3 linked regions of the Arabidopsis thaliana genome follow. The protein of the gene in region 3 interacts with the protein of the main gene of each other region in a pairwise test. Each region holds a gene or a part of one and is shown on either strand. Other genes may lie near its edges.

Region 1 (8,784 bases), about 11 Mb from region 3:
ATGAAAACGCTTCAACAATTTCAACAGCTACAAAAGTTTACATTATAATTTCAGTTGTAAGAACACCGTTATAAAAGTATCTTATATAGAGACATATATTTTGAGTCATTGAAAAATATGTGAGACAAGGATAATAACAACAGATCATCAACAAAATTAATAACATTCAAATCCAAATATATGGAAAAAATTGTATCTCTAAAGCTATCCCGGCAGGACTTGGTATCTTTAGCCTCTTTACAAGCACATTAGCCACTACATATTAATATAATATATCCATCATCCATCTCTACGGACTCGACTATATCTAATAAAGCTCTATAGTCCGTACATAATGTCAAGTGATGTCAAGATCTTTTCACATAATGTATGCATGTGTGCATGCATGTCAGTAATTAAAGTCATGAATAATAATCGGAAGTTATATCATAGTGTGACATTGTACATTCAAGTAATGAAGTAAATATATAAATGAGCAGATATAAAAGAAGAGCCCAAAGGGGCACTAGGGCTGCAACGTGAGGCTCAGGCCATCACATTGAATGACTTTGATATGATGACGTCATAAGACAATGAAAACACATAGAAAATTGTAAAGACAAATAGGCAAAGGAGAAGCTCATCTTTGTTGTTATTTTTGTGAAAGTGGAGATAGACATGGGCACATATTGGTATTAATAATACCAGAACGTACGTAGTATTAAAAATAAAAGTGATACTTTCATATGAAGTATTAGATAACAAGTTGATGAACAAATTAAGTAACAAGTTAGGCAAATATCACATTTTATTTGGTCATCAAGCACTATTTCTTAATTATGTGAACAATCATAGATATACTAATTGATGCCAGGGTATTATTACAATTACTCAAATATTTAATGTGCTTATATGCTAAATTCGTTATACAAATCGTATAATATAATTTATATTTTTTCAGCATCAGAATGTTGAAAAATGACTAAATGAAGAGCTACAACTTGTCACACACAATTTGGTTCTCTTTCTCTCATTTTTAGTCGATGAATGGGCAGTTAGGTCTTCCACTTCCAATCAAAACTTTTTTGATTTTTGGTTTCAGATATATTCACATTCTTCTATATATAAAAAATCCATTTCTTCCCTTTTCATTTTTTTTTCATTCTCATTAGCACTTTTTCCGCTCACAGCAGGAACAAAAATTTGATTAATAAATTTCGCAAAACAAAATTGTCCACTTTGGAACTATTAAATATTTCAGTGTTGATTTGGGTTAAATTTTCATTATTGATGTTCGTTAAATTTTTAGAATTATTTTCTGAAATCAGATTACGTGGACCAGTGTTTGTAGTTTAATGGTTTTACTTAACAATATATCACCACATTATCATTAGACTTATGTATTCACTCTAGTTTTCTCTGGCCATCACTATATTTAGTTTGGGCTTTAAATTGGGCTTCGAAGCCCAGCTATACTCTTTTCGCATAGCCACTTTAGGAACAATTCATTTATTTCATTTTTTTGACTTTAGGAAACAATTCATTTAATTATAACTTCTACATTTTTTTATTTTATTTTTGTCAACACGAACTTCTACATTTATTTACAGAAAGAAGAGAAACCAAGTCCCATGCCCAATTATTCCTACCGAGACTTTTAGTTAAATTACAAGCAAACAGAATACATATCATTGAATGTGTAAGTGTGAAAATGGACGAAAATAGGTATAGCCAGAGACATTTATATGCATTCATGAATTTGTTAGTATTTCTTACTGTTTCGATTGCATGTGACTTCTTTAATTTTGAAGATTATCATTATCTCCAACACTACATAGAGCATTTCTATATATGCATACACTATTCTTTCAGTTTATTACTATTAATGTTGTATATCACCCGCAAGTCCAAACACACATATAAATATTGAAACTGTTGGTGGATATTTTTTCCGTATGATTCTTTTATCAAGCTTAATTACATCAATTAAATAGTATCACAAGTATAAATGGTACAAGTTTAAATTACTTATAAGCAAATGACACAAAATAAATAATTAAACATCAATTATAATAAGTGATGTATAAATTAACATGTTTAGCGTCACTTCAATCAAATTGATAGAAATTTGTATTAGTTTGCATCATTTTAACAAATTGATACAAAAATCTGTATTTACACCAATTAAATAACCGATGTATTCACTTAATTTTATTAACATCAGTTTATAAAAATGATATAAAATTATACATCAATAAGAAGTGATGCTAATAAGTTTTTCTGTATTTTAATTTAAACAAAAAACTAACTTGAATTTATTGTAGATGACGAGAAATTGTTATTACCATAAATAAATAATCATATTGGGTTAATAATTTATTATTAATTTCTATATTTTCCCTCAAAATCAGCTAACTAAATATATTTGTTTCCTTCACTATAAATCCTGCTTTCACGCTCACGATCTTTTCTTACAGTTTTGTATCCAAAAACGTTTTTAGAATATCTTCAAATTAGTTTTTGAAATCTCATAACTCTCATTCAATTCTTCATCTTCAACGACAAGTACTTTCTTATTTTTCTATCATTCTATCTTTCTCTTTTTCTTAACCATTGCTCAGTTTTTTTCTTTTCTTTTATTTTCAGAAATCTGCCATTGATCATTAGGACTGTTTGTTTTCCTACACAGTTTGGAGAAACACAAAGTAAAGGTACTCTATCACTTTCTTTTAAAAATACTTACAAATGGTTATTCTTATTCCGACCAAAACAATTCTATAAATTTTCAAACAATTAATCTCTTTTTTATTTTGTACAGCAGAAACTCAAGTGTGATGAGGATTCAAGGGATATAAGTTATAACCAAAGTATGATTTTGATTCTGTAAATGGAAGAGAGATGGCATAGAAGAAGAACTGGTATTTTTCAAGAAGAACCAACAGTTAATGGAAGGAAGAAGCATGGAACAGAAGAAAGATGTGTTTAAACATGAAGAAACCAAAACCAAATTATGATTATTTTTTTGCTTATCTTATATAAAGATTTATTGTTCATGTAAAATATTTTATAAAATCTTGATAAAATTTTAGTAGATATTCCAACGAGTAATTATCCACAATGATCTGTTATTTTTTAAAAAAAGAAATAAATAAAATAATTATTCAAAATATTAATAACATTATATTAATAATTATATATATATTATTTAAATCAATTATTTAAACCGAAACAAATACTAACATCACTTAAATAAATTGATGTAAACATTACATCATTTTTAGTAACTGATACAATATTGATATCAATTACAATAATCGATGTAATTATTTTGATTATTTACATCGGTTACTAATTAACCGATGCAAATTATTTGCATCAACAATATTTAAGTCACTTATTTAAATGATACAAAATTCTTTTACATCACTTTTAACTAATGCAAATATTTATAATAAATGATGTAAAACAACCTTTTTTTTGTAGTGTCTCCAACACTACATAGAGCATTTCTATATATGCATACACTATTCTTTCAGTTTATTACTATTAATGTTGTATATCACCCGCAAGTCCAAACACACATATAAATATTGAAACTGTTGGTGGATATTTTTTCCGTATGATTCTTTTATCAAGCTTAATTATATAGACCTTACCTTGACCGAGTTTGTTTCTTATCCACATGCCAATTTAGAATATTTGTTCGTGCGGGTTTTATGAAACAAATGTTATTGATGAAAGAAATAAATGTAGCTTTAGGAGGCTAAAGTCTACGATGAGCTGTAGTCCCAAAGTTCTTTTTCGTCTGTTATAAATTCACTAGTGAATATTCTTAAGTCAGTAGGATTCTCACATGTTCTCGAAATCCTATAAAACATTAATGCTCCTGATCAGCTTATAGAAAACGAATGACAATAGTTCTTTATCTAAATCCATAAAACATAATGGTATACTTGTTTTACTATATATTATCTGCATGATCTCACTAAAAAGAGACTACGCCAAAAGGAAGTCAGCCTACATAATAACAAATCTATTCAACTTCCATAATATCATTTTTCTTGAGGCTATAATTATTTTCCATTGCATATATAGAGAGTTTTGATCCATCGTGATTCGTTAAACGTTCTATTATATCCTAAAAAACGATATGGCAATAGCTAAAACCGAACTTATAAAACGCGGTTTCAATCGGTCCATAGAAGTTAAAGGGTACCGGTGTGAACGAAGTAAGTTTATGGAGGTGAATATTATTTTGTCGGTTCTGAAATTGAATACAGTAAAATATTAATTTTAGCAATCCTAAGAGTAGCAGGCGATCGCTCATCGATCGTATTTTTTTCTAAGTTTTATTTTGTTTTTGTTAAAGCATATTTTTCTAAGTATAGAAACCATCGAAATCAATTTCAGTTTTGGGGAGAACTCATAATAAATTTCATAAATGCTATTTAATTAATGAGAGCAATTTGTATATTCTTAATTGTTTTACCTACTTTAAGCACAACCACAAGTCCACAACTCCTTAGTGAATGCTTCTTTTAAAAAATTTGGTTTTATTATTTTGTAGGTATTACATGTTCACATTCAAAATATATTTCACACTATATTAGATTAAATTTAACTAAGCTTTAATATTTCACTAGCTCCTACTAGCCTTCCAATTTTTACAATTTTACTTTGCAATTTTTACTCTCGATCCAAACAAATAAGTACTTTTTTGTACTATATTCAAAGATGAACAACTTTATATTTTTCTTGAACAAAAATGAAATTGAATAGAGAGAAACTAGCTACCCTAACTAGTCACTCGAAACCTTATAAATAACACCTTCTGTAGTTTGTTTTCCTATGAAGAATATTTTTCAACTTTATCTATTATATTATCCTTTGTTAAACTTTCCCTGAAAATTGTTAGAAAATAAACTAATTAAAATAATTCTAAGCATGACGTTTTTGTAGTTATTAATTCATGTTACATTAGACGCACGAATTTAATTATAATACACACCCCCGTAATTAAGTACATTAAAGACCCTAAAGTATATATATTAACCATTGATAAAACAATTTAGCCCTAATTAGTGTCCGTTCACACACATAATCTTTCCTTTAGCTTATATATACGCTGGTGTGTGTTTTTAAGAAGCTTCATACACTCATTTTCAAAACATTGAATACTGAGACTTGAGAGAGATCCCAACAGAAGAAGAAGAGAGAGATGAACCACCGGGACAAACAAATTGATTCCGGCTCTGGCTCTGGAGAAAACCGCCGGACTTATGACTGCGACATCTGCAAGAGAGGTTTCACGAATCCTCAAGCCCTCGGTGGTCACAATAACATCCACCGCAGGGAACGCGAAAGATACCCCTCCTCCTCTTCTTCTTCTCACTCATTTCCATTTTCTCTTCCGTTACCATCTCAGTCTCCCTCCTCCTCCACAAACTTCACAAACCCTCCTCCTTATTTTCCGACCATTGAGTCATACCTACACCAAGGGTCTCAGCCACCTATTAACCCTAGCCACAACACACAATACTTTGGATCATCATCATCATCAAGAGGAGGAGGGAGATTTGCTCAAGGGGCGTCTCATGATCTTAATTTGAGCTTAGGGCTCGGATCCATGAATGAAGATGATGACACTCACCGGAGCCCACCAGAGACCGGAGGTTCTCAACCTCAAGATGGTGATCTTGATCTTGATCTTCGACTCGGCGGTCATCGTCATCATTAAGCTTGCAGCGGTTTCCCTCACGTTCGATCCACGTAACCATATACAATATATATATATAGTTGAAAGTTAATCACCGTATAGTGCATGATGTTTATTGTGGTGTTTATATATGTTTTCAATATATATGTAGTATGATCAAAATATGTTGGACTTGGAGTCATGTTTTTATCATGATCGTATGAAGTTTGGGTTTGTATAATTCAAGACTATATTTTTCACTTAAAAATTATAGATCAAATAGGTTAATTTGAGTAATGTTTTTGTTATACCTTTTTCAAAAAGAAAAAAAAATGTTCTTGTTGTCTGAAGTTGGGTTTGTATAGTACAGGATTATTGTTCTTTTCCATAACTATATATTAGTGTAGATCTATAGATCAAGTAGTTTTGCGTAATATGTTCTAATAATTAGTTACGTTGTATGAAATTTGGGTTTGTATAATCAAAGACTATCTATCATTCTCTTGTATAATATTTTACATGAATTTACATTTCAAGTGGGTTTGTATGAATTTACATTATAAAGTAAGTTTAAACTTATATTATGAATGAATTCGAACTGCAATGGGATAAACATTATATGCGTTTTAATAATAGGTTGGTGAAGTTTATAATTTACACCATTTGAAAAGCCTTCCAAATTTAGAAACTACATTTTTGCAGACCCATGTGAGCTCATATGAATCAATCATAGCCTTGATGTTGTAAAACAAATTATGATTATAAAAATGTGATAGTATATTACATGCATAAAAAATAAAGGAGAGTAAATGAAAGTCAAATCTGGGTTTTATGAACTGAAAGTTGAAGTTTAGAAGTAGAAGTAGCGATCAAAGTATGACCAGTTAAAAGGCCCAATATCATTTGGAGGTTTGATTTTTGGGTTCGTAAATTTCAAGAGCCAGATTATGATTTGCTGGGCTTAAAAATCATGGAAAAATTGAAATGACGGTGTTAAAATATATAACTCAAATTAAAGATTTTAATTGGGTGTAGTAGGCTGATTTTTTTATAAGAATCTTGTCTATAGATGCTTCAAGGTTATGCCTTATAGTACTGGTTGTAAAACACCACTATCTAATTTTGAAGCTGGTCAGAACTATAAGGTATGTTGTTGTTGGCCTTGTTGCTAATGAAGATTATAACATTCTGTTGTTGCATTTTTTTTTTTTTTTTTGTGTTAAATATATATATTTTTTTTGCATATTTATTGTTGCATATTGTGTTGCATATTTAGTAATGGTTACATTCCCTGTTATCGGAGATCCAAGATAATACGGCTCTTGTGGCATGGACTACTACTCCATGGATTCTTCCAAGTAATCTTGCTTTGTGTGTCAATGCAAAGTTTGTCTATCTTAAGGTTCGTCAACAACACTGGAAAAGTCTACATTGTTGCTGAATCTCGGTTGTCATCGCTTCCTAGTGATAAGCCTAAGGCCGGCTTAACTAATGGAACTTACTAGTGATACCATAATGCGAAAGGTGCTAATTAAGCTTGACAGTGAAGAGGATTCTTATCAAGTTTTGGAAAATTTTAATGGAGATTCCTTGGTTGGGAAGAAGTATGAACCTTTGTTTGATTACTTTTAGCGATTTCTCAAGTGTGACTTTTCGACTAGTAGCAGATGATTATGTCATGAATGATAGTGGTACTGGTATTGTCCATTGTGCTCCTGTCTTTGGTGCAGATGACTATCGTGTTTGTCTTGAGAACGAGATAATTAAGAAGGTTAGATTTGACAACATCTTCCTTATATCACCACCTTTAACATTAAGTTTATTTTCTTTCTTGTTTAAGTTTACAGTATCTTCAAGAACCCATGTTCATGACACATTTTGTTCATGTGTTGTTTAGATTGTCAGAGATTTCAAACGTCCAGATGGTTTGAAAGATACAGAGATTGATGCAGCTGTAGATAGTACATATCTTAATTAAAAATACCACTTCTCTATGCTCTATTGTTGAGGAAACATATAATATTTGCATTCGTTCATGGTTCAGATATGATGTTATGGTAATTCTTGATCTACGAGAAGATGAATCTTTGAAAAACGAAGGTGTTGCCCGTGAGGTAAATAAATGTAACCGAAGCGATTAATGGTCATATATAAGTTGTATATTTGATATATGGGTTTCCTTCTCATTGTGCTCATGCATTGAAAAGCACCCTGTTATGACTGTGGTTCTAGGAGAACATTTGCATTTGACAGTCGGTGACTAATTGTTAAGCAAGAAGAACGCATGAGAGCCTTTTAAAGTGTTTTCTTCTAGATCGTTGCAAAAAGTTAAATGTCTCTTGAGACTTTGTACTCATTCTATAGATAAAGATGGGATTTATTACAAAAACAACAAGAAACTTTGTTACTTGTGGAAATTCAAAATTATCCGAACTAGCTTCACAAAATATGCTCAAGAGTTTCAATGTATTTTTTTTTGTTCTGTAATTGTATGACTCCGTTTGAAGCATCAAGATTATGGTTATAGGTAGTGATGCTAAAACTCTCTGTTGTTACAGTGACCACTAAAAACACCAACAAAAAAAACTTAGGTAACGTGTCGTCTAAAAACTTCTAGGTTCAATTTCTTTAGATAGTACTATCAATAAATAAAATAAATATGTACAAAGGCTTTAAACAATGATGTTTTTCAAAGATGATTGGTAGATACTAATTAGAGCTTCAATATAAAAGAACACATGCGATTCTGACATTCTGTGGTCTAACATGGTTTCTTCTAGAGTCAAAACCATACAATTAAAAGTTAGGAAAGTAATAGCAATGTGGTTTCAAATATATACTCATTACTCTTTAGATTCATGTATGGTGAAGGAAACATTATAATAAAATCAAAGATCACAGTTTTGTAGGTCCCTCATATTAATCAACATCTTAAGGCGTTATACATATCTTCTTTTTGTAAATATTTGACTAATTAAAATATCTAATTAGAGTATTAGACTAATCTCATCAAATATCCGACTACTTGTGTCAGTTCAAAACACAGTGATTACGTTAGATTTTGTGCTCTTTTGTTTATAAACAAAGCTAATTTAAGAAATATATGATCT
Region 2 (13,135 bases), on a different chromosome or scaffold from region 3:
TTCTCTTTAGTTTTTACCTAGATTCTGGAGCTCTTTTATCTTAAAGACTTGGAAGAATGTGGTTAGATACAAACAAATGGAATATCAAAAACATTATTTTTTTAATACATGAAAAGAGGTCATTAAAAGTCAAACTTCCATATGAAGCACAATGATCTTGACTCATCGTCTTCTCTGAAACAACTTTAGCTTCTATCTTTTTTATCCATATTTAGGCAAACGAAACAAATTAAATGATGTTTATTAATTAATATTCGACAATCAAAGAATATCATTAATGACATGACACATCAATTCCTCAACTAAATCTTCTAAAGCATGAGGGACCAATCTGGTCTAAATCTATCATGACCGAACCGGGTTCTAGGAACGGTTTTAGCCCATATAAAGCACCCAAAGAATAAGGTTGAACCGGATTTAAATCCAAATTAAAATCAAGATAAAATCAGAGCTGGATAGATTAAGACTGGACCGGCTTATCCCATTGTACCATCAGGTAGAAAGAAAGTAAAGCCAAGTCGTTGTCAGTTCTGGTTTGGCTCATCTCTAATGCCAATTCTGCTATCTCACAGAGAGAGCCAATTCACACACACACACACAGAGATAAATACATTCCCTTATCTTTCTATATATAAAGACCACAGTCTGTGTTAAATAATTCTCATCTCTTGTCCGGACATTATAGACACAAAAGATGGAAGCTGTAAGATGCAGAAGAGGCAGAGAGAACAACAAAAGTCCAGAGAGGATCATAAGGTCTTTGAATCATCATCAACATGATGAAGAACTTGAAGAAGAGGTCAAGACAAAGAAACCCATTTTCCGAAGAGTCCAAGTTGTTTACTATCTCACAAGAAATGGCCACCTTGAACATCCTCACTTCATCGAAGTCATTTCTCCGGTTAACCAGCCTCTCCGGTTAAGAGGTAAAAGACCGAACAACAGAAAGAGGGAGATCACTATACGCTATTTATATATAGTCCATGGGTCTTGCTCTGTTTAGTGTTTTGATCTCAATTTATGCTAAACTTTCGATTTTTGTTTCGTATACATCAACTTAAGAGTGTGTTTGTTCTAATGAAGATGTGATGAACCGGCTTACGATTCTGAGAGGGAAGTGCATGACATCACAATATGCTTGGTCGTGTAAAAGGTAACAACGCTTTTAAAATGAAGCAAAATCTGTAATCAAAAGCGCAAATGTTAAACATTGTATTTTGATATATTCATCAGGAGCTATAGAAATGGATTTGTGTGGAATGACTTAGCAGAGAATGATGTGATTTACCCTTCTGACTGTGCTGAATATGTCTTGAAAGGATCTGAAATCACCGGTAAGCTGTTAAAAATCGGAAACTCATACAAATTGAAATTTGTGATTTTGCAGAATTTGAGTTTAAAATTTTATGTTCTTGTTTGCTAAACATTTTTGTAGACAAATTTCAAGAAGTACATGTGAACAGACCATTGTCTGGTTCTATTCAAGAAGCTCCAAAAAGTCGACTTCTCAGGTCAAAACTCAAGCCTCAAAACCGAACGGCGTCGTTTGACGACGCAGAGCTCTACGTCGGAGAAGAGGAAGAGGAAGAAGATGGAGAGTACGAGCTTTACGAAGAGAAAACGAGTTACACATCTTCCACGACGCCTCAATCTCGCTGTTCTCGAGGCGTATCGACGGAGACAATGGAATCCACCGAACAAAAACCGAACTTGACCAAGACAGAGCAAGATTTGCAAGTACGTTCTGACTCGTCCGATTTGACTCGTTCCAACCCGGTGGTGAAGCCACGTCGACACGAAGTTTCGACGCGGGTCGAGGACGGAGATCCGGTGGAACCCGGATCGGGTCGTGGGTCGATGTGGCTGCAGATGATCTCTTGCGGTCACATCGCCACCAAGTACTACGCACCGAGTGTGATGAATCCGAGACAAAAAGAAGAGAACCTTCGAAAAGGAGTTTTGTGCAAGAACATTGTCAAGAAGACTGTCGTAGATGACGAGCGTGAGATGATAAGGTTCATGTCGGAGAATCCAAGGTTCGGGAATCCTCAGGCGGAGGAGAAAGAGTATTTCAGCGGAAGCATCGTTGAGTCGGTGAGTCAGGAACGAGTCACGGCTGAACCATCGCTAAGACGATCCAACTCGTTCAACGAGGAAAGGTTAGTACACCGAGTCAGCTCTAATCGACAAGTATGGTTACAAAAATTCACACTAAATCCTTAAATATTTGAACAGATCAAAGATTGTTGAGATGGCTAAGGAAACGAAGAAGAAAGAAGAAAGATCGATGGCGAAGGTGAAATGCATACCAAGAACGTGTTTAATGTCATCATCGAAGCAAATCAAGAAATAAAAAAAGAGAGTTTAATACTATAGAGTAAACGAATGATTATGGACTAGTATTTTATTAGTATTTACTGCTACAGATAGATGCAGTAAATGATAATGAATTTTAACGACTACATGTTGTTTTTTTATTATGGGGAATATATTTGCTCCACTTTATCTGACTAGTTGTTTAAAGAGAATGGAAATGGCAAAATCCGTATTCGTGTTGCAAAATCGTAAATTCAATCTAATCTTATGGGAATCCACTAGAGTGATAATATCTTTGTCGTTTCTGAAAGTTAAAATCTTGAAAATATGATATCAGAATTAAACATTGATACTGTATATAAATTAAAACTTGAAAACATAGAGATGCCTTGAAGAAAAGTGTTTTTTTTTTTTTTTTTGCCTTGAAGAAATGATAATTGACATATCCAGAAAAGGGCAAGGAGGTGGTGGGATGATTGGATATAAATCATGCCGTACATTCACCCAATCGATTCGAAGTACTTTTCGCATTAAGTTTTTTTTAAAATAAAAATTCGATATTTTTATTATCTGCCACACAATTAATAGTAAAGTTTTTATATTGACACCATACCAAAAGAAAGTTTTTTTATATTGACAAATCATGGTCTAGGGAACGTTCCATAGGGTTATCAAACATTTTCCCATCGTTTGAAAGTCCATGAAAATCATTTGGTCAGTACTCAATTTTTGTGGTAATATATATATATATATATATATAAATATAATGTTCTTTACTTTTGTTTAACTATTGATCTGATTTGCAAGAAATAAAATTTGCATATGCAATAGCGAGCAGTGGCGGATCCAAGAAATAATTTCATATGGAGCACAGTTAAAAAAAAAACAATAAAATGATAATAGTAAGGCTTGAACTTGGATTGATGTGGGGCACTATTAAGTAAAAAGCCACTGTACTACTTACATTTTAACTACAAAATGTTAACTTATATAATATTTATTGAATTCAGTATAGGGCACATGCCCTACCCATGACTAACGTGAGTCCGCCCCTGATAGCGAGTAAGAAACGAGCAAAGGAATGCAAATTATGTGAATACTATACACCAACAGTGTAGACATGTAGCTACAATGCGGCAATGTTAAAAATAAACTCAAATTGGTTTGGAGGGAACAACCTAATGCTTATAAGTACACTTTTGTGGTAAATACAATCCAATTGAAAGTCTTTGTAGGTTTGGTTTGGTCCAATGAAATTGTATGCGAGTTGAGTAAAATAACCTTAGTTCAAAACATTAGATATGTAATGGTCTAGATACGATGGTAGCCAAAGATTTGGGTTAAATTTAGAATAAAGATCAAAGAACAAATGACTGACTTCCTTATGTGTGTTTGTTTATGTAAAGTCTTAACTCGTGTCTTGCCAAATTAATAAAAAGGTGCATTATACAATGAACTAGAGCTTGTTCTCATCAAAAATTTTAACATTAATATAAGTTATTAAAATTTTGTTGATTATATATGATTTCAATATTAAATTATATTTTTTGCTTATAGCATCAAAACTTCTTGGCACAGCTCCGAGTGTTACTGAAATGTTTGTGTGGCTCCAATAGAAAAGTTAATACCAATCATGAATCATCAATATCGTTACAAAATCAGTAATCAGTTTCACCCACTCCGAGTGTTAGTGAAATGTTTGTGTGGCTCCATTAAAAAAGTTAATACCAATCACCAATATCGTTACAAAATTTGTAATCAGTTTCACCCACTTCTTTTCGTCTTGTTACTCGATATAGCCTCACCTTTCAAGTGTCTAATATAACATTTTTTAACAAAATATTACAAAACAAGAAAAATTATAGTAATTAGATTAATCATATGTAATCTATTACATATAGTAATTTGTATTAGTATCGTTTATTGTGTTACCATTCAAACGGTATAATCTATATAATTATTAGCAAAACAAAATATAGTTTTAGTAATTAATAAAATTAATATAATGATAGTGATATTCAGAATGTGGTATCTAATCATGTAAAAATATATAATAATAAAATTAGATAAAGAAGAAATTGGTAAAAAATAATTAATGAGATATAAAAGGAAAACAAGCTGATACAAGCATTTCACCAAAAAAAAAACAAGCTGATACAAGCAAAAAAGAATTAGTAACTTTGAGCTATTGCCATATGTGTGGACATTTAAGATTTCTTGTATTTTAGAAATCTTATATATTTCCACAATATATTTACTACTTTCCTTTATTATTTGTGTTAATCTCCCGAACATTATTATTTCAATACTATCTGAAAAACACATTTTTTTTTATAAAATTTGATGACGTAGGCGAGTGGTTCTTTGTTTTTACTATGTAGGCACGACTTTGGTAACACCTACTAATTAACTGCCAAATTTTAAGTTTTGAGAAGTCGGAAGAGTTCAAACCAGTTTTAGGTTTCGATATGTCTACATAGTTCAAAGATGATGTAGAGTGGAGGTTCTTTCTGCAATAGTTCAATCCGTATCGTAGGGGAGGAAAGATAGTTTTCATTTAGCAACGAAAGTGAAAACTAAGGCAATGCAAAAGTAGCAAAGACGCTCGTCATGCGGTACACGTGGCAATCTTGTCTTCAAAACACAACGTTTTTATTCACATATTTGGTTTTTTTGCATCACTCTCGTTTACCCCCAAAAAAAAAAAAATATCTGGCCCGACGAAGAAAAAGTAGATAGGCACAAAAAATAGAAAGAAATAAAGCGAGAAAAGGAAAAAAAAAAATAGAAAGAGAAAACGCTTAGTATCTCCGGCGACTTGAACCCAAACCTGAGGATCAAATTAGGGCACAAAGCCCTCTCGGAGAGAAGCCATGGGAAGAAAAAAACTAGAAATCAAGCGAATTGAGAACAAAAGTAGCCGACAAGTCACCTTCTCCAAACGTCGCAACGGTCTCATCGAGAAAGCTCGTCAGCTTTCTGTTCTCTGTGACGCATCCGTCGCTCTTCTCGTCGTCTCCGCCTCCGGCAAGCTCTACAGCTTCTCCTCCGGCGATAAGTACGCCTTTTCCTTACCTGGGTTTTCATTTGTTCCCCCTTTTATCTTCTGTTTTGTGCTCTTTTACTTTTCTGAGAAAATAAAAATAAAAAAACAATTAATATACCGTTTGGTTTTTTTCCGGCGGATCTCTTGTTGTTTCTCGGTTCTGTGTTTGTTTGTGTTTTTTTCTGCGACCATGATAGATACATGAGATAACCAAATTTAAGGAAGAACAATGTCGTGAAGAAGCTTTTTAGCTTCTTACTTTTGTTCATTTCTCTCTCTATTTCTTAAAAAAAAAAATTCTGCATGGATTTCATTATTTCCTTGGAAAAAAATTGCATGTCATTCACGATTTGTTTGATACGATCTGATGCGTGCTCGATGTTGTTGAGTGAAGTTTCAAGCCATCTTTGATTGTTTCTTACCTTTAGAGATTCCTTAAGTTTTTGAAGAGTTAATTATATATCACAAGACTAATGATTAATGTCTCTTTTCAGAGTGATTAAAATTCATTGGATCTCTCGGATTTGTATGCAATGCACTTACGGGAGATCTATAGAGTTGCTATGGGGTTAATGCTGAACAATGTATATATACCACATTGTGCAGCTATTGACTATATAAGACTATTGTTAATCTTCTATGAATTCCTATCTTTGCTGTGGACCTATTACTTGGTGATTATCCAAATTAGTGTTTTTAATTGATTCATATTTTTCATACACAGTAGTTTTGAATTTTGGTAGCTTCAAAAAACTCAGCCTCACAATTAGTACTTACCGCACATATGCTACTTCAGTAACATAATCTGGTTATCGATTGCGATTCTTTGAATCACAATCGTCGTGTGCTATATATATAACACCTTTTGCTGTACATAAACTGGTCTAATTTTAGACTAATTAAATTTCATTGTTCTCTTGGATTTGTATATGCACGTCCGGGAGATTTATAAATAAAATTAGTATGAGGTTAATGGTAAAAAGGATCAAGAAGTTTGGTTTTAAATGTAAGCCACATTAATTGGGAAACTATGACTAAAAGATGAATTGGTAATATATACATAATATTTTTAACGAATTTCTCTCCTTTTTATGGGATATGCTATTTAAAGATTGTCCAAAGGTTTATAGTTTCCCACTCTTGCAGTTACACACATAGATTTGCCTCATATTTATGTGATTGTATATCAATTATCGCCCTTAATCTTATCATCGTTGTGTTCATTTATGACTTTGTTCCTATTCGTTAAAATTGACAATCCACAACCTCAATCTTTTGTTGTGAAAATCGACAATCACACAACCTTTGTATCTTGTGTCTTTTGTCACACAACCTTTGTATCTTGTGTCTTTTGTCATGGAAATTGTCATTCACACAGCCTTGTTTCTTTGGTGCCTCTAGGAAATTGAAAATCCCACAACACTTGTCTTCATGTAAGAAATACCAACCTCTTTGGTACGGATCTATAATGAATCAATATAATCCTATATATAAGTTGTCAAAATTGAATCTGGTGTAGTGTCTACTACAACCCTCCAATATAATAACCAAATGGTTGTAGTAGTTTGGCCATGTTGGTCAAGATCGCTGGCCGATTCTCACTTGATGCATACTTTGTTAGGATTTGTTCACCCCTAGTTAGGTCCAGCCTTGGAATTGTCGAGACACCTGACTAGAACTCCTGGTCTTAATTATGATTTAATAAAGAAGAAGCCTTTTAGAACGTGGAACCCTTAGTTACTCAGTTACTCTTTTTGCATACTTAGGTTGATGCAAAGAGCTTAACTTCACAATAGGACTGATATCTATTAACAAAACAAATTAAGTGAAGTTTTGTCAAAATTGTTGGATCTTCTAGGTCAATATGTAGTTTAGTTTTTATCTGTCTTAGTCGCTTCCTTCTATGGAAGATATATTTATAGATATGTGTGATAAGTTTCCTACTAATATTAGTTAGTGTAACTTCAAGGGCAGAAAACTCTTTACTTTTATTGCTTGATTAATTTGGGGTTTAAATATAGGAAATTGGAACCTCACAGTTTCTATAAACGAGTAAGTAATTGAATGTGAAATAACAAAATGGAAGACCGGCTTCCTATTCTTAGGAGTCTTTTGATATTTGCAAAAAAAACATATACAATAGAAATATGAGTTTTGTCTAAGACTCGGTCCATGTATTTGGAGTTTGGCTTCCTCATACTTATGGTTATCTGGTTACCGCCACATCATCATTATCATCTTATGGGTCATCAATACTAGCTCTATCGCTGGAAAAAACCTTGTCCTCAAGGTTCATTGAAAAATCCGAAAAGTTTTCTCGTATATGTTGATATGGTATTACTTACAAACAAAGAGCTGATGTTACCAATTTTGACACGAGATTACTAATGAACTCATGAAAGAGGCGTTTTTAAAAAATTCTTTTTAAAACTGGGATACAAAAAGAAAAGAGGTAACTAATAATTTGATACCATTGTTCGTAGTCCTGATCAAATGTTATAAGGGTAAACATGATAGAAAATAGAGGGTAAATAGGTTTTGTTCTTATAATGGTTTTGATAACACGCTTTGTAAAGGATATAGGTGTTTTTTGATGCTAAAAGTTGTGGTATGGATCAAAACCAAAATGGAAGCTCTGAATCTCTGATAGAGGTTGCAATTAGAATTATATAAGTTAATTTGCAAATGAATTGGAAGCAGTCTTCCACTATTTGCTATTGTTAGGGAAGTCTTTCAGTTAATTTCAGAAAATTAAGAGAAATATGACTTTCTAGACTCAGTCTGTGTACTTGGAATTTTACTTCGGTTTACTTCCATGTCATCACATTGTGGCTCATCAATATATGTGTGTATATACATTCATGAGTATATATGATTTCTGGAAAAATAAAAATTGCTTGTTTGCATTTAAGATTGGGGCTGCGTTTACATTTTATATTGCATCAATTATTTCAACATAGATTCACAAACATAAATGCATAGAAACAATCTGGACAGTAGAGGCTTATGTTTAGGGTTCTTATGTACCTTAACTAGTTTGACTTTAAGTTAATCAAAGCCAGCGCTATCACTAAACTTTATCTGTATGCCTTTGTATGACTTTTCTTTGAGGGAAAATGTCATTTTCAATCTGCCGAAATATATAATAAATACATGTTAGCCCACATAATTCATTGGATAACTAATCTTTGAGCAATTTTTGGTAAATGTTTTGGTTCTTTTCTTTTCTTGAGAGAGAAAAAAAATATCAGATATTATTAAATATTGCTTACAAAGCTAAGAACAAGTTAAAACTTTTTTGAAAAAGTGGAAATTCAGATGTGCTACTGCTTAAACATGAATATTAAGATTATTGTTTTTCTGAAATGTTACGAATACTAGCGTGTTATATATATGTAAAAGGTAAGGTGTTCTCTCAATGTTTCATAGTTTCCAGTGGCCTTTTCAAGGGTTAGCTAGTAGTTTTGATCCTAACATATTTTTATTTTTTTTGTCATCTCTCCAGCCTGGTCAAGATCCTTGATCGATATGGGAAACAGCATGCTGATGATCTTAAAGCCTTGGTAATACAAACATTTTGAATCTTTTCCCTGATGGAGTTTTATAAGGCGTAAATTTACTATTAGTTTGCCGAGTGATCCTAAATATAAAATGAGGTGGTGGCTCCACATGCATTATGCATACCGCAATTTTCATAGCCCTTGTCTTTTACCGCTTCTTCTGTCCCTTTTTCATGGGCAGGATCATCAGTCAAAAGCTCTGAACTATGGTTCACACTATGAGCTACTTGAACTTGTGGATAGGTTAGTACTACTAACTAAGACTATATTTGCTCTCCACCTTTGATTACAAAGGAATTAGTTTTTTTTTTGTCAAACTATGAATATATGCAGCAAGCTTGTGGGATCAAATGTCAAAAATGTGAGTATCGATGCTCTTGTTCAACTGGAGGAACACCTTGAGACTGCCCTCTCCGTGACTAGAGCCAAGAAGGTAAGTTGATTTCGTAATGTCTACTCCTTTCTGAATTTTGTTTGCTGAGAACAACCGTGCTGCTTTTGTTTGTTGCAGACCGAACTCATGTTGAAGCTTGTTGAGAATCTTAAAGAAAAGGTCAGATATTTGCTACCAATTTTATTGTACATCAGATATATCCTCTTCTGTGTTGTCTCTGTTACTTTAAGTCTGCTTAACGAGCTTGCACACATATTTGCAACTTTCTTCATATGTTTTGGATTCCAAATTCTGAAGTTGTTAGGTTTAGAAACTTGATCGGTAATTGCTGAACATTTTGATCTTTAAATCAGGAGAAAATGCTGAAAGAAGAGAACCAGGTTTTGGCTAGCCAGGTAACGAAAGCTACATTTCCTAAAAATATATATGCATAACTAATAAGCACTGCGTGTTGTGTGTCCAATGTCCATGTACATGGACATAGATACACACTCTTATGCTTGCAGATATATATATATATATATATAGTCAGTGCATTTCAATCATTCACTAGTTAGCACTTTCCTGTCTTGTATAGTTGTATTCTAGACAATTCTTCTCAAGATTAGGGCATTTTGGTTGTTGGTAGTTTGGTTTATTAGGGTTAGTGAGATTATTACTGAATAAGAACAGAATTTTGATAACGGCTGGTTAGAGTTAAGGGAAATCAGATGAAGTTATTTTTTTATTTTTTATCGAGTATAAATTACATGATTGCTATATCATTTTACTAAATTAAGAAAAAAAAATTCCGGTTGTTGGACATAACTAGGTTTTGGTTCTTCTTCTTCGTTTTTTTCATGTTAAAGTGTTTAATTAGGTTTTGGTTCATTTGGAGATTTATGAACCTTTTATAGTCTGGTTAAGTCTGGGTTTGGTAGAGATTCAATAAGATTTCTTGATTCTCTTTCAGGTTATGGTCTGGTTCAGTCTAGTTTAGTTCAATATTGGTTTCCTTGAAGGTTGTGTAAACGTTGTCTATATTTAAGTTAATCACCTTTTAACCAAAAAAAAAAGTTTATGGACCGATTAGTTTTTTTTTTTTTGTTTTTTTTGTTATGGTTAGGTTTGGATCCGAGTGGCTCAGTTCCAACTCCAAGTGTCTAGAAGTAGTGCTACTTTTACATGCTATATATAGGTTAGATTATAAATTATAAACTGGTAAAAGATTATAGATACTGCTTCCAAACTTAAAAGCTTAAACATAAAGAACACACAAATTATGAGAAACATAACCTTCTGTAGTGTTTTTTAATGGTTGTTATTTGGTGGTGTGAAAAAGATATTCCTTGGATAGAAGACAAAAAGAGAAAGTGAATAGTGATTTTGACCTATGATTATCGTACAGATGGAGAATAATCATCATGTGGGAGCAGAAGCTGAGATGGAGATGTCACCTGCTGGACAAATCTCCGACAATCTTCCGGTGACTCTCCCACTACTTAATTAGCCACCTTAAATCGGCGGTTGAAATCAAAATCCAAAACATATATAATTATGAAGAAAAAAAAAATAAGATATGTAATTATTCCGCTGATAAGGGCGAGCGTTTGTATATCTTAATACTCTCTCTTTGGCCAAGAGACTTTGTGTGTGATACTTAAGTAGACGGAACTAAGTCAATACTATCTGTTTTAAGACAAAAGGTTGATGAACTTTGTACCTTATTCGTGTGAGAATTGCATCGAGATCTTGAGTGTATGTGTTCTTCACTTCTGTCAAAAACTTGTGTTTGCTTCACAGTGAAGAAGCCTACGGCTTATTTTGCAACAGGGACGTGGCTCTCTCTCTCTCTCTGCGCGTTTTTTCTCTCGTCGTAATTAATTTGTTTTTATCCTAAACGCGTATGGTTGGCATGGGTTTTTTGGGCCTATGTCGGTCACATTCGGCCCAATAAGCTTAGTTCTTAAAGTCATTGCTGTTAACGTGACCGACCTCTTCCATATTTTCTTTGGACTAAATTCACTTCCGTAGTTCCGTCATCCATGAAGGATCCCTTAAACTAATCCACATTTATATAATGATAACACTTCTTTTTTTCCCACTAAAATGATAATACTTTTAGACATTATATGTATAAATATAATTCACATATAGAATAGAAAAAGTTACGCTCGTATTTATATTAATTTAGATCAACAGTTCCAGACGCCATTGTCATTAATCACCTTTTAACATTTCTGATTTAAATTAAATCATAGTCTATATACTCTGATTCAGCCTACAAGATGATAAATAGAGAATCGTCAGTGTTAAAATGCACTCTTACGTAACGAGGAAACATAAGCACGTTCTGGTCGGACCGAAGCTAACCAGCAATTTCATCACTCTATTTCACATTCTAGTTAATCCACAAAATTTTGATATACAAAATTATAATATTATTCATTGTATAATTTAAAAGTGAAAGGTTTGTTAAATATAGTAGTAGAATTACAATTTAATTACCAACATAAAGTCAAATGCCGAATAAAGCATTCGAAATAAAATTGTAAAGTCCGATGGAGACGTAGACTAGAAATAACAAGTACCATACGAGTTGACTTGTGTAGAAGGCAACACAAACTTTCTCGCCGAGTACGGCGGAGGAGCAGCCGCAAGTGGATCCAGCCGACACTAAGGAAGCTTTTAATTTGCACAAGATGCGATACACTTACACCTGACCCTTCAATTTCCTACTTATATAATACATAGTTTCAGTTTTCACATAATACACAAAACCCTTTCACTAATAACAATCTCCAAATGGCTAAATCATTTGTACCTCTCATCGCTGTGTTATGCGTTTTGGTTCTCCCACTTGCAGCCATGGCGGTTGGAACGCCATTCCACATTGAAGGAAGTGTTTACTGCGACACTTGCCGCTTTGGATTCGAGACAATCGCCACCCAATATATCCGCGGTCCGTATTTACACTTTACCTAGTTAGTATTCTCATATATATATTTCACATTGTACCATTGTAATTCATTGGATCTGATTGGTTACATGTAAATAGCATAATAGTATACAGTACTTGCAAATTTTATCTTCACAAGTAAATAAAAAATCACCCATTAGGTAAATTTTCAATTAAATCAACTTTACCTCTAAATCTTCAATTGTTTGTTTGAGTTCAAAATAATTTGTTATTGTTTTATTTTTCATTTTACAAATTATTTAATTAAGGAAATCCAAAAGTCTATATTTAGAAATGTAATTATTTATCAAAAAAAAAAAATGCATGCGAAAACAAAAGCAGCAATTTTAAGACTGAAATAATTTTGAGGGTTATATGAAAAACAGGGGCAAGAGTGAGAATAGTATGCAAAGACAGAGTGACACTAAAATCGGAGTTGGTTGGGGTGGCGGTGACGGGACCTGATGGGAAATACAAAGTCGCCGTCAGAGGAGACCGACAGGACCAGCAATGTCTGGCGGAGCTTGTTCACAGTCCACTGTCCCGCTGCCAAGAGGCTGATCCTGGCAGAAGCACCGCTACCGTGATCCTCACGCGCTCCAACGGAGCCGCCTCTACTCGTCACTACGCCAACGCCATGGGTTTCTTCAGGGACGAACCGCTCCGTGGCTGCGCCGCTCTCCGCAAACGCTACCTCGCAGACGGCGATAACCGGGCTATTTGAGTCATCTTATGTTCTTGATGAAACAGAACACAAAAGTTTATTTAGAGTTTTTATTTATTTCTATTTTATTGTATTGTTGAGTCTCTAAAGATGGTGAGACTATTTAGACATATCTAAGATAAACCATATAAAATAAAGTATTTGCAACCTTCAAAAA
Region 3 (9,407 bases):
AACTGACGTATCATCAACACTGTATACACTGCAAGAGCAAGAACACATGCCACTCCACACACCACAAATAATCCCCAAAAGCTCTTAAGCTCCAGCCTATCCACTTCTATCTCTGCGCCTTGCAGAGAGCAAGCTTTTCTAAGCAACCATTTGTCCCGAATTCTCTGCATATCTCCATTTTCTGATAGCTGCAAAATTGCAGCGGAGACGTCCACAGCCAATGGCGAGTTACGCGGAAATGCCTGAACAGTGGGAGAGAAAAAATACATATCATAAATCACTATCGCATTATCAAATTCTAAAAAGTTATGCATGGAAGAACTTCCTGATGTTTCTTCCTTAATTATCTATCATCAAACAAGTAGGGAGTTGTTTATATTCAGAACAATACTCACAAATCCCCATCCGTTTTTCGTGAACTCTTGACCAACTATGCCGAACTCACATCTGTTTGAGAGGAAAAGCTCTATGTAAGCACGTTCATCAACAACAGCCGCAACACCACCTTTCCCAGGACCATCTCTCAAGGCCTTATCATATTCCTCTGGAGACCGGAGAGGGACAAGTCTTGACACATGGATATTGAGTTCGTGGATCAGATAGTCTCTGACAAAGGAGCCTTGTGGATACCCAATAGGATCATGGTTTGTTTGCAAAGTTTCTATGCCTTTAATTGGTGAAGACAGCTGATGAACTGTGAGGATTGACGTGAGGCTTGCGGTATAACTAGAGTTAATTATGAGAACTACGAATAGCCATATTATCAGCACTATTCTTCCTAGGTTGCTGGTGGTAGTCTCTCCTGTATAAATTCAGCAGAGAAAATTGGAAACCAATTTAAAAATGGAAAACAACTTAAGATAGAATAGGGGGTGTGGGCAGTACACTTACTATGAGAGAAGAAAAGAGTTGAAAAGCTAAACCTGCAAGACAAGTAAACAACGACATATTTCAGAGAAAAAATTGTAGTGTTTGGAATTACGTTCATCCAGTTGGAGCTTATTATGTTTTCACCAGAAAGTAGTGATCACTTGTCTACGAGGAGGGCCTCGAAACTCGTCATTGTGTTTGTGCTCAAGACACCAAATGACAGCACCGACTATGAGGAAAGACGCAGCTGCAATAAGCCACATCTGGGGTGTGAACGGCCTCAAGAACGCCATAGCACTGGAGCCCAACTTCCGAACAGGAGCCACCACCACTAGCCCTGACTCCACATACGGCTGAGTAAAATCTGCCATTTTGGTTCTCTCTGTTATGATGGTGATATCACCAACACCTGCATCATAGACCTGTGAAAAAGATTTTTGAGCCACAAAATATGTCAAATACACACCCACCAACAGAGCCATCAACAGAACAGGTTCTAAAAGAGTGCTTATGTACTCACCCCAGTCGTTATCAAGCGCACAAGCTCAGAGTTACTTGGGTTGTCATGACCATTCCCAAAAGCTACAAGCTCAAATGGGACTGCGTAAGGTAATAAGTTAATAGCGGCAATGAAGACATCCACACAGAAGCCAGTGATCATCCCATTGCTTTTAACTGAGACTACCTCTTCGAACCTGTAACGATTTGGAACTCCAATCCTCAAATGCCTTCCATTGTTCGAGAACACCCAGCCACGTGGTATTTTTATTGAATGTCCTGGCCAGACAACACTATGAAGCTTCTGTCCCGAAAAAGATGTGTTCTCCATCTCGTCAGCCGGCATCACAGACAAGCCTGAATGATTAAACCAGTAACCAATAGTCGTGTAACCAGTGCCAATGACATTAAGCACATCAAATGCTGGATTTACAAGGTTTCTGTCACTAGTAAACTTCATCCTACCGGTTAAGCCAATTCTATCAACCTGTAAGATGCTCTCAAGAAATATCTTTCCTCCATCAAAGACTTTCAGAGCATCAAGGTGCAAGTTTCCACCCCCAAGCTCAGATATAATCGGATTCTTCGAAAAGGAAACGTTTCCACCTTTTTTGAAGAAATCATCAATCGCCTGAGCAAGCAGCCAGACAGTGTCATAAGCATACAGTGCATAAGTGCTAAGTCCAACATGAGTTAAGTTATGCCACCTTTGAACGAAGTTCTGCTTCATGATAGAGTTGGGAGTGTGCAGGCGCAGTGTAATGACCCCTTGAATGTTATTTATGGTGTCCAATGGGAGAGGAGAGTCTGTGTCTATAATTGTAGAAAGCCAGTTGGTAGCAATCCACACATAACCAGTGCTCATCATACCAAGATTCCGAGCCACATTGAACAACTCTAGGCCCCAGATGAAAGAAGCGTGAACGACGATAATCCTTGACTCACTCAAAGCTACCTTAATCAGCAAATCGGTGATATTCTCTCTGGTAGGTGCGGGGGGCAAAGCTGCTTTGTATGAGATTCTGCAGCGCTTCTCTGATAACCTGTCTCCCAAGGCAGCTACCCCATTTCGGCCATAATCATCATCGCCGTATATTGCTACCACCTCTCTCCAACCATAGAATTGAACAATATCTGCTATGGCGGCCATCTGAAAGAGATCATTTTGTGAAGTTCTGATGAAGAAAGGGAACTGCAGAGGAGACATAGTAGGGTCTGTGGCAGAGAAGGATAGTATAGGAATTTTTAGTTCTGTTGCAACATGAGCTACTACACGGGCGGTCGTAGATCTCTGAGGGCCAATTATGGCCACTGTCTCAGATTCCATGAACTGCAGAGCTTTTAATATGATACATAAAACAATCAGTCAGTTAACCGGATACCAGAATATGGACATGAGTATACTTGCATGTTGCAGTATCATAACCTAAAGTAGATAGCAGAACAATCCAAGACATGAAAATGAATCAGCGAGCATAAAAAGTTGATTCAAAGGTAAAGAAGACCAGAGGAGTAGAGACCTTTCGAATAATCCGTGAGCAAAACATAAAAAGGAAATGATTGAACCTCGACAGACAAACACATAATAATCATCCAATAATCACAGAGTTGTCTCACTTACGTTCCATGATGCTCATGAATCCATTGTATTTGGTGTCATGCATGATGATCCTAAGTGTAGTGGTGTTAAGAATGCTGGGGCTAGCATTGACGTCTTCAACAGCAGCATCCATAGCAACTTTGATGACTTTACCAATGAGAGAATTAAATGTGAAAACCGAACCGATGTTCACAACTTGGGGTCTCGCAGAGACAATTTTGGTGAGTCCTTGTAAAGGAACAGCATTGCAGATGATGAGCATAAGCAGAAACCACTTCATCTTCTCAATTTCAGGAGATTCCTGTTTCACAAAGTAAAAAAGAGAGGAAGGTCAAGTCACTGAATTTAGCCACCATTACGAGCAGATATAGAATGTTTGAGGGAAGAAAGATGCTTGACCTGTCACTTTCTCTCACTAAGCATGAGGCAATGGTGGAGGAAGTAATTGAGTGCCCATTATAGTAGGTGTAAAGTGGAGATCTTCTTTATGTAATGGTACTCACAGATTCAACTCTCACTCACTCAAATCCTTCATATTTCCCCCAACCCACTTCTAATCTCATATGATTACTTCCACATCACAGTGAGAAGCTCCTTCAAATACTAAACATACCACTCAGATGAAAAATCTCAGCTTTCACGCAATCAAGTTAGTGCGCAAAAAGAAACTCTCAAGTGAACACCTTTTTTGGCTTTCTATACCCTAAAAAGTGATAATTGGCTAAATGTAGAAAGAAAGAAACCCAGATTCACAAAATCAAAGCTTTTCCATAGAGACCGAGATAAAAAAAAGTGTATACCTTAAGGGTTTTGGAAATTGATTCAAAGGTTGATCAAAAAGCCAGACACAACCTTCATATTTCGTTCAAGCTTTTGTCTACTGTATAATATGTACAAGCGTGAGGACTGAGGAAGATGAAAGTGACAAAAAGAAGAAGAGAAACTAATAAAATATTAAACTTTAAATATTCATTAATCGAAATGATTTACTATTTTACAAACAGAGTTTTGATCAACAAAGAGGTATACTTATTATTGAGTTATGCTAACAGAGGGATCATCAAAACAAGTTCTAAAAGAGTGCTTATGTACTCACCCCAGTCCTTATCAAGCGCACTAGCTCAGAGTTGCTTGGATTGTCATGACCACTCCCAAAAGCTAAAAGCTCAAACGGGACTGCATAAGGTAATAAGTTGAGAGCAGCAATGAAAACATCAACACAGAAGCCAGAGATCATCCCGTTGCTTTTGACTGAGACAACCTCTTCGGAACGATTTGGAACTCCACTCCTCAAATGCCTTCCATTGTTCAAATTCTGTCATGGCCAGACAACACTATGAAGCTTCTGTCCCGAAAAGGATGTGTTCTCCAGCTCGTCAGTCGGCGTCACAGACAAGCCTAAATTATTATACCAGTAACCAATGGTCCTGTAACCAGTGCCAATGACATTAAGCAAATCAAAAGCTGGATTTACAAGGTTCCTGTCTCTAGTAAACTTTATCCTAGCGGTTAAGCCGATTCTGTCAACCTGTAAGATGCTCTCAAAATCATCAATGGCGTAAGCAAGCAGCCATACAGTGTCATAAGCATACAGTCCATAACTCGTTCACAGATTCAACTCTCACTCACTCATATCCTTGTGTCTCAGTGGAACCATCAATTCATATCTCCCCAACTTACTATCAATCTCATATGATTACTTCCACATCAAAATCAGAAGCTCCTTCAAATACCAAAAAGACCACTCAGATGATAGATACTTGAAAAAAAACTCAGCTTTTACACAATCGAGTTAGTGCGCATAAACAAACATCTCAAGTCAACACTTTTTTTGCTATCTAATACCCCTACAAATGCGAGCTTTTGCAATTGTTTAATGGCTAATTGTAGCACTATAGAGACCGAAATTCACAAAAATGTTGTCATTTTCTGTAAAGTAGATAGCAACAAACAAACCAACAAAAATCGGAGCAGAAATGAAAAAATGTACCATTAGGGTTCTCTAAGTAAAATGATACAAAGACTCCGACGACACCACCAAAAAGAAATGGGTTTGCTTGAGAGTAAAACCCAGACACAATCTTCATCTTTCGCTAATGGGAAACTAATAAAAGATTTAATTCTCTTTTATATTCAAACTAAAAAAAAAATATGGAGATTGGAAGCACACGTGGCATCCAGAGAGCTGATTGGTGAGTAAAATAAGGAGGAAGAAGAAGAAAGAAGCTATTTTTATAATTTAAAAGAGATGACTCTGACAAAAAAAGAAAGCTTTTGATCGGAATCTGGAAATGGCACCGGTGACTGAAGTTTCTCCGATGATCAACACATTGGAAGTCGCAGATGACAAAATGACGAATCTCAGTTCCTCTGGGAAACCTCCAAGAAACATCTCTGCAATGCGCCATTGCAACAGCACTGCCTGGTTGACCGATTACGTTGGTTCATCTCTTCTTTGCTTTTTTTTTTTTTTAAATTCAAATGCTTGTGATTGTAATTGCACGGTCACGAACAGATAAGATAATGTAGCTTAGATCGGATCTCGTGACTCAAAAACAATCCAAAGTTTGAAACTTACAATGTGAAAATGATTTGTTTGCAGGAAGGAGATGAGAGATTTGGTGCAAAATCTCCGGAAGGAGTAAATTCAACATTCCAGCCTGTGTTTAGATCTGGAAGTTGGTCTGATAAAGGACCAAAACAATCAATGGAAGATGAATTCATTTGTGTTGATGATCTCACTGAGTATATTGGATCATCCACTGGAGCTTTCTATGGGGTATATAAGATTTGCTTCATCGAATATTTCAAAAAAGTTCTCTTTTTTAAAATGATTGTTTGTTTATGAAGGTGTTTGATGGACACGGAGGTGTTGATGCTGCATCATTCACAAAAAAGAACATTATGAAGCTTGTAATGGAAGACAAACATTTCCCAACCAGCACAAAGAAGGCAACAAGGAGTGCTTTTGTGAAGACTGATCATGCTTTGGCTGATGCTTCTTCTCTTGATAGATCCTCTGGCACTACTGCACTCACTGCTCTCATTTTGGACAAGACTATGTTGATTGCAAACGCTGGTGACTCCAGAGCGGTGCTTGGGAAACGAGGCAGAGCCATTGAGTTATCAAAGGACCACAAACCTAACTGTACTTCCGAGCGGCTACGTATTGAGAAGCTTGGAGGTGTGATCTACGATGGTTACCTTAACGGGCAGCTATCTGTGGCTCGAGCCTTAGGAGATTGGCACATTAAGGGAACTAAAGGTTCACTCTGCCCGCTCAGCTGCGAGCCTGAGCTGGAAGAGATTGTGCTGACGGAAGAGGATGAGTATCTTATAATGGGCTGTGATGGACTCTGGGATGTGATGAGTAGCCAGTGTGCAGTGACGATGGTGAGGAGGGAGCTGATGCAGCATAATGATCCTGAGAGATGCTCTCAAGCTTTGGTTAAGGAGGCTCTTCAACGAAACAGCTGTGACAATCTTACTGTAGTGGTTGTCTGTTTCTCGCCCGAAGCGCCTCCTCGGATTGAGATTCCCAAGTCGCATAAGAGGAGGAGCATCTCTGCAGAGGGATTGGATCTCCTCAAAGGTGTTTTGAACGAGTTGTGAAGGAACTGAGAGCAAGTTGGAAAAAGGTAAGAAGAGTTACTTTATTCTTTTTTTGTTTCCTCTTTTGATAGGAAAGTCAGAGAGATATTCAAGGTTGTGTGCTTTTTTCTCTGGTTTTTCCAAGTTTTGATTGATTCCATTTTTTGTACTGTAGATCTTAACCATATTTAAATGATTAATATTTGGTTTCATAATTTAAAAATGCCTCATTGAACTGCTTCTTGAACTTGTGAGGCCTCTTTTTGGTTTGTTTGAATCCTTACCAAATATCCAAAAAATGATCAAGCAACAATGGAGCACAATCTCTCAGAAACAACCGTAGAAAAGATTTAACAGAGGGTAGATGTGCATCTGCCACAAAATAATGGATCCTAACACTAATATAACGATTGACCATCTAGGGACTGAGCCTGAATAACAAAGATGCGCATAGGTTATGGCTAAACAACCTAGAACATGCACTTCCTTTGTCTGCCATTGGTCTATCATGCCTCATGATGAATTCTACAATGGAATCACTCAACAAGAAGTAGGGATTTAGAAAGCCATTTGTCGGACCGAGTAATCATAGAATGAACATGAAGAAAGATGTGTAACTGTATCGAGTCATTTGATGGCTGTGGGAGTATTAAATCATGAGGGATCCAAACCTGAGACAATTGCCTCTAGATGGTGTCACAAGGTCCAATTTTGATACAATAAAATAAAACAATCGAAGGGAGAAAACTTTTGTCTCCGACTTGAGTTCCATGTCTTTAATTAATTGATCTCACGAAATGAATCAGCCTCTGGGCTTGTGCAGACGAGGTCGGTTACAGAAGATCCTGCCATTGGCCCTCACCAGTGCAGCCATGCCCACGCAAATTCCCGTCCACAACAATGAGAAGAACAAGTGCTTATGCTTATAATCACTCCCAGCTGCTCAGCAAATTTTACACAGTTTCAGATTAAGTTTGAAAGAAAATCTTAACTATCCAGCAAAAGAAATACCATACTTACTTTGTTTTAGAGACATTGTTGCAAACCAGAAACTCATCAGAACCACGAACAATGCCACTGGGAAGTTCTGAGACATGAAATTTACATTGTTATAAGACTAGAATTCTTTGTATGCTAATATAGTGGAAATTAGTTCTAATCTTAATTGATAAATGCTTACGGCTACAGCCTCAAGGCCTCCCTTTTGAGGTACAGGAGCCATGTCTCGGCTCACAGCAACTATGTAGTGCCCTTGCAAGAGATCAATTGCATCCTATTGCACATAGCCATATTAACTTGCGTCAGGACACATTCCAGTTACAGGGGTAAGTGACACCAAAAGTAGTCGCACACAGTTGCAACTGAACATTATTAGATGATACAACTAGAGTTACTGAGAATGAAAATTCACTGACCTGCTTAGTTCCATCAGCAAAGTTATTCAGGTAATAGCGTCTGAGGGAGCTCCAACCATCTTTAAGGACACCATGGGCAGTCCGATGCCCATACCTACAATTGAGCCGGTTAGAGACGCATTAGATTGCAATGTAGAGTAATCTACAAAACACTCCCTTATATTGCTTTATAGCCAGGACTTATTCAGACCCAAGATTAAACATATGGCAAAAGTACCTAACGAAATCTCCTTTAAGTGCAGGAGTACCAGAGTACTGAATGCTGATTTCATCACCATGATTAGCCCATACTGAAAGGCGAAAGCACATAAGCAACATGAATAAATTCGGAATTTTACATCTAAGTTCTACAATAGATTTCCTACAAAGGTAAGAGACTGACATATTTTATAGTGTTCGTCAAAATTCAGATGTGAGCTTATGGTTTCTTCAGCGCCAAAAACTCCAATCCTTTTGAGTTGAACTTCTAACATCTTTCGACCTATCATGCTCTGCATTTGGCAGGAAGTATGCAGCATGGATGAGCAAAGGCCAATATGATATTAGCTGCATCATAGTTTTCTTATGGCTAACCTGGGTAACATTTGTACGGTCTAAGCAATCTATGCAGTTTGATCGGACAACACCAAGCTGCTCCTTCATTTTCTCACCCTTTTCATTCAACAGAAAGTACCTGCGTATTTCAGAGAATGCAAAATGACGTGCCATTTTTTATTTATAATTATTCAGATTTCAAGATTACATAAATAGAAATGTACAAAGAATCATACCCATTCTTTTCGAGAAAACCCTCGATCTGCTCGTACAGAATTGATAAGCGCTCAAAATGAATATGCCCACAAATTTGATGGAAATCAAAGTGCAGGTACCTACAGGATAAGGAACCTCCTTTAATGAGTTGCAAAACAATAAGCAAGTTGTCTAAGAAACACATTAGACGAACAGATTGACTACCTTATATCATCCCCAGTAATGTGTTGCATAACAGTAGCATACTTCTCGCATAAGCGCCCCTCACCGCCTTGCTGATTAGAGAAATTAAGGAATAAAAAGTTGGAGTAGATTTATGCAATGCAATTAATTTAAAGACCAAGGTGAGCTCACAAACATGACCTGTACAACATCTTGAGTCACATAACTACACAAGTATTCATGTCAATTTGAAAGAATTTGTACCTTGTTAACGAGATCAACTGCCAAAACTGATCCATATTTTTTCCTAAGGTCCAAAAAGTGACGCTCAGCTATCCGTTTCTACAAGAAAAGCACCCTATGCAATTTACTTGAAAGAAATAGATAAATTACTAAAAGAGTAGGTAATTAGTCAGAAATTAGTACTCACAGCTTCTTCAGGTTGGACAATTTCAAACTTGGGCTTGTAAGTCAGATCTACAACCTGCTCCCACATAAAAGGCATGGATCCTCTGACCTGC

Evidence for each region.
Region 1: the proteins of AT3G51470 (region 3) and URO interact in a two-hybrid assay, tested with the Arabidopsis thaliana proteins (one large-scale study listed by BioGRID).
Region 2: the proteins of AT3G51470 (region 3) and FLC interact in a two-hybrid assay, tested with the Arabidopsis thaliana proteins (one large-scale study listed by BioGRID).

The regions. Positions count from the first base shown.
Region 1 is NC_003074.8:8,245,382-8,254,165, forward strand, and holds URO (C2H2 and C2HC zinc fingers superfamily protein), read left to right. Parts: upstream 1-5,137; 5' UTR 5,138-5,197; coding exon 5,198-5,716; 3' UTR 5,717-6,102; downstream 6,103-8,784. Other genes in the region: AT3G23145 (ATP binding / aminoacyl-tRNA ligase/ nucleotide binding protein), read left to right, coding at 6,757-6,819, 6,978-7,076, 7,260-7,445, 7,572-7,635, 7,751-7,815.
Region 2 is NC_003076.8:3,171,394-3,184,528, reverse strand, and holds FLC (K-box region and MADS-box transcription factor family protein), read left to right. Parts: upstream 1-5,080; 5' UTR 5,081-5,189; coding exon 5,190-5,374; exon of another isoform or gene 5,375-5,445; intron 5,446-5,480; exon of another isoform or gene 5,481-5,544; intron 5,545-5,632; exon of another isoform or gene 5,633-5,645; intron 5,646-8,867; coding exon 8,868-8,925; intron 8,926-9,103; coding exon 9,104-9,165; intron 9,166-9,255; coding exon 9,256-9,355; intron 9,356-9,433; coding exon 9,434-9,475; intron 9,476-9,669; coding exon 9,670-9,711; intron 9,712-10,421; coding exon of another isoform or gene 10,422-10,493; intron 10,494-10,531; exon of another isoform or gene 10,532-10,637; coding exon of another isoform or gene 10,638-10,652; exon of another isoform or gene 10,653-10,703; coding exon 10,704-10,805; 3' UTR 10,806-11,147; downstream 11,148-13,135. Other genes in the region: AT5G10150 (UPSTREAM OF FLC protein (DUF966)), read left to right, coding at 695-926, 1,084-1,153, 1,234-1,334, 1,436-2,159, 2,236-2,353; AT5G10130 (Pollen Ole e 1 allergen and extensin family protein), read left to right, coding at 12,101-12,257, 12,641-12,978. UniProt on the Arabidopsis thaliana protein: Putative transcription factor that seems to play a central role in the regulation of flowering time in the late-flowering phenotype by interacting with 'FRIGIDA', the autonomous and the vernalization flowering pathways.
Region 3 is NC_003074.8:19,095,097-19,104,503, reverse strand, and holds AT3G51470 (Protein phosphatase 2C family protein), read left to right. Parts: upstream 1-5,228; 5' UTR 5,229-5,259; coding exon 5,260-5,406; exon of another isoform or gene 5,407-5,555; coding exon of another isoform or gene 5,556-5,570; coding exon 5,571-5,747; intron 5,748-5,818; coding exon 5,819-6,580; 3' UTR 6,581-6,782; downstream 6,783-9,407. Other genes in the region: GLR3.6 (glutamate receptor 3.6), read right to left, coding at 1-242, 396-802, 892-923, 1,015-1,292, 1,391-2,706, 2,990-3,248; RHD4 (Phosphoinositide phosphatase family protein), read right to left, coding at 7,362-7,498, 7,580-7,646, 7,740-7,832, 7,975-8,068, 8,192-8,264, 8,357-8,465, 8,548-8,647, 8,745-8,843 and 3 more.